2 linked regions of the Daphnia pulex genome follow. The protein of the gene in region 1 binds, or shares a complex with, the protein of each later gene. Links are inferred from orthologs where the notes say so. Each region holds a gene or a part of one and is shown in the gene's direction. Other genes may lie near its edges.

Region 1 (3,822 bases):
GAAAAATATGGTCGGTGCCTGAATCAAAGCCCAGCCGGATGAATTGAGCTTTATTGGGATGTGGGCCGCCCAAGAAATCGATGGTGCCATAAGAGTCGGTTGGGCTGCTGACAGTATGATGGGCAGGGGACCAAACTTCTTCCGACACGCCAACATTTTTGATTCCGTGAGTCTTGTGATACGTCCACGTTCGGCCGCAAGTACACAGTGGGCCTTTGTCGGAGCTGCAAACGTATCTGGAGCATTCTCGCTTGCAAAATGTTGATTCTATCCAGCCTGGATGACCCGGAGGAATCGCAAAAACGACGCCACTTGCAGACGTTACAGCCAGTTGATTTTCCTCTATATGGGTAAAAGAAATAAAAATGGTTTACTTATTTAACAAAGTTTTAGCATTAAATTAGAGAATTTCATGTGTAAAAATTAAATACAAAAAAAGCGGCATTTTGAAAACAACTTACCAATCATGGCCGAACGTGTTTGGACTCAGTCATGAGAAACTATAGACTACCTTAGAATCTTAAATTCAAGTGCACCCGTTTCACCAGCATTGAACTAGTTTTAAGGTACGTACACAACAAACTGACATGCAGTGATAAGTAGTTTTGACGAAGGTCGAACCTTAAAAACAATCACACAAGATGAAGCAATAACATCGTATGTAGCAATATTTGGACTTCAGATTAGAAGTCTTGGATTAACTCATACTTGGCTTTTCACAAAAGGATCGGTCGACGTTACCGTCTGGGAAAAGTCAAGGAACGGTATGAAATTTCACTACAAGTCTGGAAAGAATGAGCTTCACTGAGATGAGAGAGCAATTATTAAAGAGGACTTTACACGATAGCGGCAATAAAGAGGTTGTTGATCCTCGATAAGTTGTATGTTATCAACAAATTAATCCTGCATTTGCGCATTCTTTGCATTCATATCACATGTAACCGATTGCATCGCGGTGATATCAAGTAGCATTAGAGACCCCGACACACTCACTAATAAAACGTTATTGAAAATGTCGAAAACGAAACTACAAGGTTAACTTTAACTATACCAAGATAATTCAGTCAAGTATGAAATCCGAATGTAAATAAAACCGATAAAATGTTACCTTCTACAGCTGAACACTTTTAACATTTTCCATTTGAGACGAAGAAGTATCGCGGCGGCAATAATGCAAGGCCATTCAAAAATAAGGCATGAAAATATGAATGCAAAATCTCTTGTTCTCAGCATCCTGCACTCACAATCGTAATCGCAATATACCGCGTTTAGATTTTACAGACCCATAGGAATTAGGAAATAGATTTTGGATTTTTGAATTTTTTTACCCGACGGTTGGAATAAAGAAGCAATCTGACAACTACACAAATGTTGCAGAAGATTCTTGAGAAAATTAAAAATATCAAGAAAAATGGCTGCCTCCAGATATGTCACGAGTTTCGTAAAGTTATCTCAAATAAGTGGTACAAAATTGACTTGTGGAAATTTTCACAGACTAGTGACAATTCCCCAAAATGTGCTGTGTCAACCAAAGCAAATAAGTAACATTCTCTTAGCTACCAGGCACTTACAGTTTAGGTGTTACAGCCAAAAGTCCGACAGCAGCAACGAGACACAGACGACGACGGCGAACAAACCGGCTGCAGCTAGTCCAATATTAGGTTCATTTCAAGGTATGGGAATTGCAGGAGAGGTTTTAAAGTCCCAAAATGAAACCGAAGGAAAGCTGAAGTCTTCTCCACCTGGCCAACAACAACAAAACAACAGTGAAGAAGATGAAGAAGCCAAAAAGAAAAAGGAAGCAGAGGCTAGTTGGAGAACTATGAAATACACACTTATTTTCTTTGGAGTAACACTAAGCGGCCTAAGTGGTTACATTGTTGGCACATGGGGAGCACCAGAGAGAGATGAAGAGGGCAATGTGATAGAAGACCAATTCAGCTCAAAACCTCTGGCACTACAATATATCCTTAGGTCATGGAATGCCATAATGAACTATAGTCAAGTAAGCATCTCTGACTGTCAGATTTTTAAAACATTTCAATTAATTTTAATATTGTTTTTGGCTTTCTTTTCAGATGATTAGAGACCCTTCAAGAGATAAACTTTTACCTGATCCTCTGAAAGAGCCATATTATCAGCCTCCTTACACATTAATCTTGGAAATGACTGGTGTTCTAGTCCACCCAGATTGGACAGTAATTAATCAGTTGAACTGTATGCATTTCAAATGAAACATCATAATCATTTGCTCTCTCTCTTAATTTCAGTATCAAACTGGTTGGAGGTTTAAGAAGAGGCCAGGAATAGATTTTTTTTTGGCACAAGTGGGTCCACCCGCATTTGAAGTGGTTGTCTACACGGCTGAACAAGCCTTTGTAAGTACCATTTTTAAATTTCACGTTCTCGGTACAAAATAATTAAATTTCTTTACCTCTTTAGACGGCCTTTCCCATATTAGACGCCTTGGATCCCAACGGTTACATCATGTACCGACTCTTCCGCGACGCTACTCGGTATGTTGATGGTCATCACGTGAAAGATCTTGACTGCATCAATCGCGATCCATCAAAAGTGATTGTCCTCGATTGGAACACCCAGTCAGTCAAATCGCATCCTCGTAATGCACTTAGAATTAAAGAATGGAAGGGTAACGATGATGACAGGACCCTTGTCGACTTGGCTCTACTATTGAAAAGTAAATGTCCTTCTAAGAAATAGTATGAAAAAAATACTAATGAAGTAACGCATTTTACTGGTGAATAGCAATTGCTACGTCAGAAGTCCAAGATGTGCGAGAAGTGCTGGATTTCTACAACCAATTCGACGATCCTATCGAAGCATTTCGGGAAAATCAACGGAAACTTCAAGTAAGTGTAAATCCATCATCCAATTCTTAAATTTGTTTTTACCCAATTTTGTTGCTGTGCAGGAACAACAGGAACTGATGGAACGAATGAATCAAGAGAAACAAATTCTACCAGCTACATCTGTTGCCCGTGGTCTATTTGGTCGGCGATTTTGATTCAGCAAGTCTCGTTTCTAGTATATTAATTCGAATAAATCACCGATCGAAAGTTTCTGAAAGAAAAAAAAATACTCTTATCATTGGGTCGAGGCACAGCCAAGAACGGGAAAACATTTTGTCCCATATTTTATACAGGATGTCAACCGTCCATATAAAGCGTCGTCGATACCTACTGTCTCGGTCGTTTTCAAGTTCTTTACTCTTTTGAGCAATTGTTACACTTCAGTTTGCGCGGTAGATGGGTTCACATTCCTTCAAGTGTTGAATAGAATCTGTAAATATTCCAGTGAACTCAATCGCAATAGTTTAAACAAATACTTTACCTTCGTTGGACTAAATAAAATGCTTCGACGGTAATTTACACTTAGATTAGTTGTTGCAATACAATTGAAGATAGAAACTTAAATACCGTATCGTATGGGAGTATTTAGGTAAAATATTAGGTGCTGGATTGATATTCCTAGACTGCATTGAATTATTAGTCGTCAAATAAATGGATTAAAGCTTTGGACCGGTAATCGACTTAAAAAGATTGCAAACCATTTGAAAATCACTTGTTTTATTCCTTCAAGGAACAGTCAAGAAAAAATTGTGCAGCATACGCAAAACGTTTTTATTGATTCTCATGTCGGATAACGCGTCACTCGTCCATAGCATCGTCATTTTCGATACTGTCTCGCTTCCGTTTCCAAGTGCTTTGCTCCCTTGAGCACTGACCATTGTTTGTTACACTCCAGTTTGCTTTGTAGATAGGTTCATATTCCTTTAACTGTTGAACAAATCCTATTAAGAGA
Region 2 (3,208 bases), on another chromosome or scaffold:
CATTTTCCAGACTGCACAGACAAGGTAGATCCAGCCACTTGTTTCACCATTGTTGAAACATCACTCATAGTTGACAGGACGTGCCGGAATATACCGTCAGGTTGGTTTCTACGGACCATTGCCGATTTTTTAAACGGTTGAGGCGGGATAAAACACCATCCATTTTGCAAATTTCTGGTTCTCGATTGATTTTGTCGTTTCTTCCGCCTAGTTAGTTCTATTGGTTCCCTGCGTGATTATTTCAATTTCATTAGGTCTCTCAAAAGTTGTCTTTCGGACAAAATTGCGCATCTTACCTGAATACTTTATTGACGCAGTCAGGTGTCTGGCGATAACAGCTTATAAAACCAACGTCAAAATAGATGAAACCCACTGGAACACTAGCTGGGTCATTCGCCGCATTTAGCAAGCATTGACGAAATCGGTCGTCGCAATCGCAATGGGACCTTTAAAGAAAAGTTTGGATTTTTATTAGAACTACAGTGAACAAAACATTTACTGTAGGAAAACGTACTTAGTGAAGACTGAGGTGTTGCACAAACCATATTTGCAAGTTCCAGGCTTCATAGTGTCTTGACAAAAATCGTGATCTCGACAACACATGTCTGTGGCGGCATGTGGTCCTAGATCTTTAAAATTATTCGCAACGTCTCCTGTTCCACACCATTTGGTGCCTGTTTGGGTATCAAACGAACTGTTATTTGAAATTCAATTGGACTAATAATGTATTTTTTTTTTTCATTTTGTTTACCTGGGTAAATGAAATCTATCTGATTGTTGGCAGTGGTCGGCTTCTGATTGAGAGTGAGCAAACGCTGTTGACAATCAGCGGCAATTGTCAACCATTCTTGTTGATTGATTGTTCGGAGTCTTGGACCGTCCGGTAGATTTTCAATAACCTGTATGGGGTTACTAAAAAAAGAACTTTCCCTTGAGGCGTTGTGAGGGTTGGAATCGTGAAGGTTAACACGTACCTATGGCCGTAGATTCGACAAGGTTCGTTGGGGTCACTGTTCACGAGCACAGCCCTTCTGCCACGCGGATGCCCATCTAGAACAAATAATTCGTTTGATCCTGTGGAATTGGAAACAAGCGCAACAATTGCTTGCAAAAGAGACAAGACTATGATGAGAATCATATTTTAGTTTGTTTTCCTCCTAAATCAATACTGCGTTGTGAGACCACTGAATATTCGGCGACGACTGTTGAACACTTAAAAAATTGGTCTCCGTTGTCAAGTCGTCCAGCTTATTGTAGGGAGCATGGATGACCTGCTTCTGTTCGTGTCGCTTTCTGTGGGTACACTGTCTTGGCTTTATTTCATCCTCTCTTGGGAAACTTTTTTAGTACTACTCTCCCTTTAGTCTACGAAACTTTAGGTTTAAAATGTAGCTACCTGGTTTTTTTTCCGTTCCCTAATAACGAAGAAGGGGGTTTCAAGCAGTTTCAAGTTTAAATCCCAAATATGCGATACTTACATACTTTACTTTCATTTTCTTTTCCCCAAAAATGCTCACAAAGGTTAAAAGTAAAATCTTGAGCTATTGCGTAATTATTGCGCTGTTTTTTCACCTTACGTATGTTTCCGATGATCCAGTAGTAGTTTAATACTAAAGAGTTTATCTGGTTGTTTATCGATCTAATGTTTTTTATATATTTTTTTTTTTTTTTTTTTTTTTTTGGGGGGGGGGGGGAAACGCCGAAACGGTAGTTGTTAAAAAATAATCTGGCAACAGAGAAGTTGATTCTTGCAGACGATCCACGTTTCCCAAACGACAGGTCCGGCCGGTGCTGGTTTCATAATATTTTCTAACCATTTTGAAGTAATTTTTCATAAAAATGGACCCAGGACAGAATGACTTAAACTCATCAGGTAGATTAGAAGTTAAATTTTAGTATTTATCACTTTTGTCATAATTTAAAATATCGAATTTTCAGTGTATTCTAACAGAAACTTGGCCCCCCTTTCACCGTATCTGAACTTCGATCCATCATACTTGCAGAGTAGTCAACCAGAATTCATCTTTCCCGAAGGAGCTAGTCGCCATAGAGGACGTTTTGAATTAGCATTTTCTTCGATAGGTGGGATGTGCATGATCGGTGGAGGTATTGGAGGTGTTACTGGTCTTGTGAGAGGAATCAAAGACACAGCAGTAGCCGGTCACACTGGAAAGCTTCGAAGAACACAGTACTTATTCAATATCTTATCCATGTATTTAACCTATTGATGAAATATTTAAATTTCAGATTGATCAACTATGTTATGAAGCAAGGAGCTGGAACAGCAAATACTCTTGGTGTTGTTGCTGTGATGTACAGTGCTTTTGGAGTTGGCCTTAACTGGATAAGGGATACTGAGGATGAAATCAATACATTAGCTGCTGCCACTGCTACTGGTTTATTATATAAATCAACTTCAGGTCTGAAAAGCTGCATGAAAGGTGGAGCAGGTGGTCTTGCTCTAGCTTTGGCATATTGTGCATTCACCTCAAGAGAAAAACTTACTAGCTGGACTAGCAACTGAATTTTAGGTTGTTTGAATCATACCTATGTCAACGTCACCTAGTGTTTACTGTAAAGTTCTCCAATAAACGTTAGTTTTTTTTGTTATCATCGAGTGACAAATATTTAAGGAAAAATCTATTGGCCCCCGGATTTCGGGGGCCAATAGCCAAAATTGCTATTGGCCCCTGCCGCTAGGGGGACACTGGAAAAGGATCGCGCCTCACAGCAGTCTTTTGTTTTTGAAGTCACTGCCTGTGCCTTGGGTACTACGGGGAAGGGCCGCGCCTAGTACCAGCAGCCGGCCGTGTTGTTGACAAGTGATAGTTCTTCGTCATGTCTTTTTCATTGGAATTTTCATGTCTTTTTTATTGACATTTTTAAATGTAATTCTCTACAGGTAGTGTAAAAAAGACATGCAAGACCTTACTGGAGTAAATACCATTGAAGTGTGCAGTCTTGTCTTGTTAATCCAATTATGCTTACGGTGAAAATGGAAGTCCACCTAAAAATTCATCTCAAATGCCAATTGCTGATGTTTGAGGTATGGTTAGATCCACACTGTTCATTTTTATATAAATTCTGTAATTTATATTTGTCTTTAGGTTGAAAGATAGAAGATCTCACCAAAGCAAGTGATGGAGGAATTATAAATCAAACCTTAAAGTCATTCAAATCCTATAATGAAAAGGTGCTTGTTGCTGAA

What was found.
Region 2: mitochondrial import inner membrane translocase subunit TIM50-C-like (region 1) and mitochondrial import inner membrane translocase subunit Tim23-like share a complex: the UniProt entries of both Homo sapiens proteins name them as parts of the TIM23 complex. The link is inferred for Daphnia pulex from reciprocal best matches to the Homo sapiens genes TIMM50 and TIMM23.

The regions. Positions count from the first base shown.
Region 1 is NC_060024.1:13,320,067-13,323,888, reverse strand, and holds mitochondrial import inner membrane translocase subunit TIM50-C-like, read left to right. Parts: upstream 1-1,367; 5' UTR 1,368-1,411; coding exon 1,412-2,005; intron 2,006-2,078; coding exon 2,079-2,198; intron 2,199-2,270; coding exon 2,271-2,378; intron 2,379-2,442; coding exon 2,443-2,698; intron 2,699-2,766; coding exon 2,767-2,870; intron 2,871-2,932; coding exon 2,933-3,025; 3' UTR 3,026-3,080; downstream 3,081-3,822. Other genes in the region: transient receptor potential cation channel trpm-like, read right to left, coding at 1-342, 462-468; serine/threonine/tyrosine-interacting protein B-like, read right to left, coding at 3,669-3,811. UniProt on the Homo sapiens protein: Essential component of the TIM23 complex, a complex that mediates the translocation of transit peptide-containing proteins across the mitochondrial inner membrane. Has some phosphatase activity in vitro; however such activity may not be relevant in vivo.
Region 2 is NC_060025.1:1,870,904-1,874,111, forward strand, and holds mitochondrial import inner membrane translocase subunit Tim23-like, read left to right. Parts: upstream 1-1,715; 5' UTR 1,716-1,839; coding exon 1,840-1,873; intron 1,874-1,938; coding exon 1,939-2,188; intron 2,189-2,247; coding exon 2,248-2,524; 3' UTR 2,525-2,610; downstream 2,611-3,208. Other genes in the region: phospholipase A2-like, read right to left, coding at 1-228, 297-446, 515-674, 752-912, 975-1,138. UniProt on the Homo sapiens protein: Essential component of the TIM23 complex, a complex that mediates the translocation of transit peptide-containing proteins across the mitochondrial inner membrane.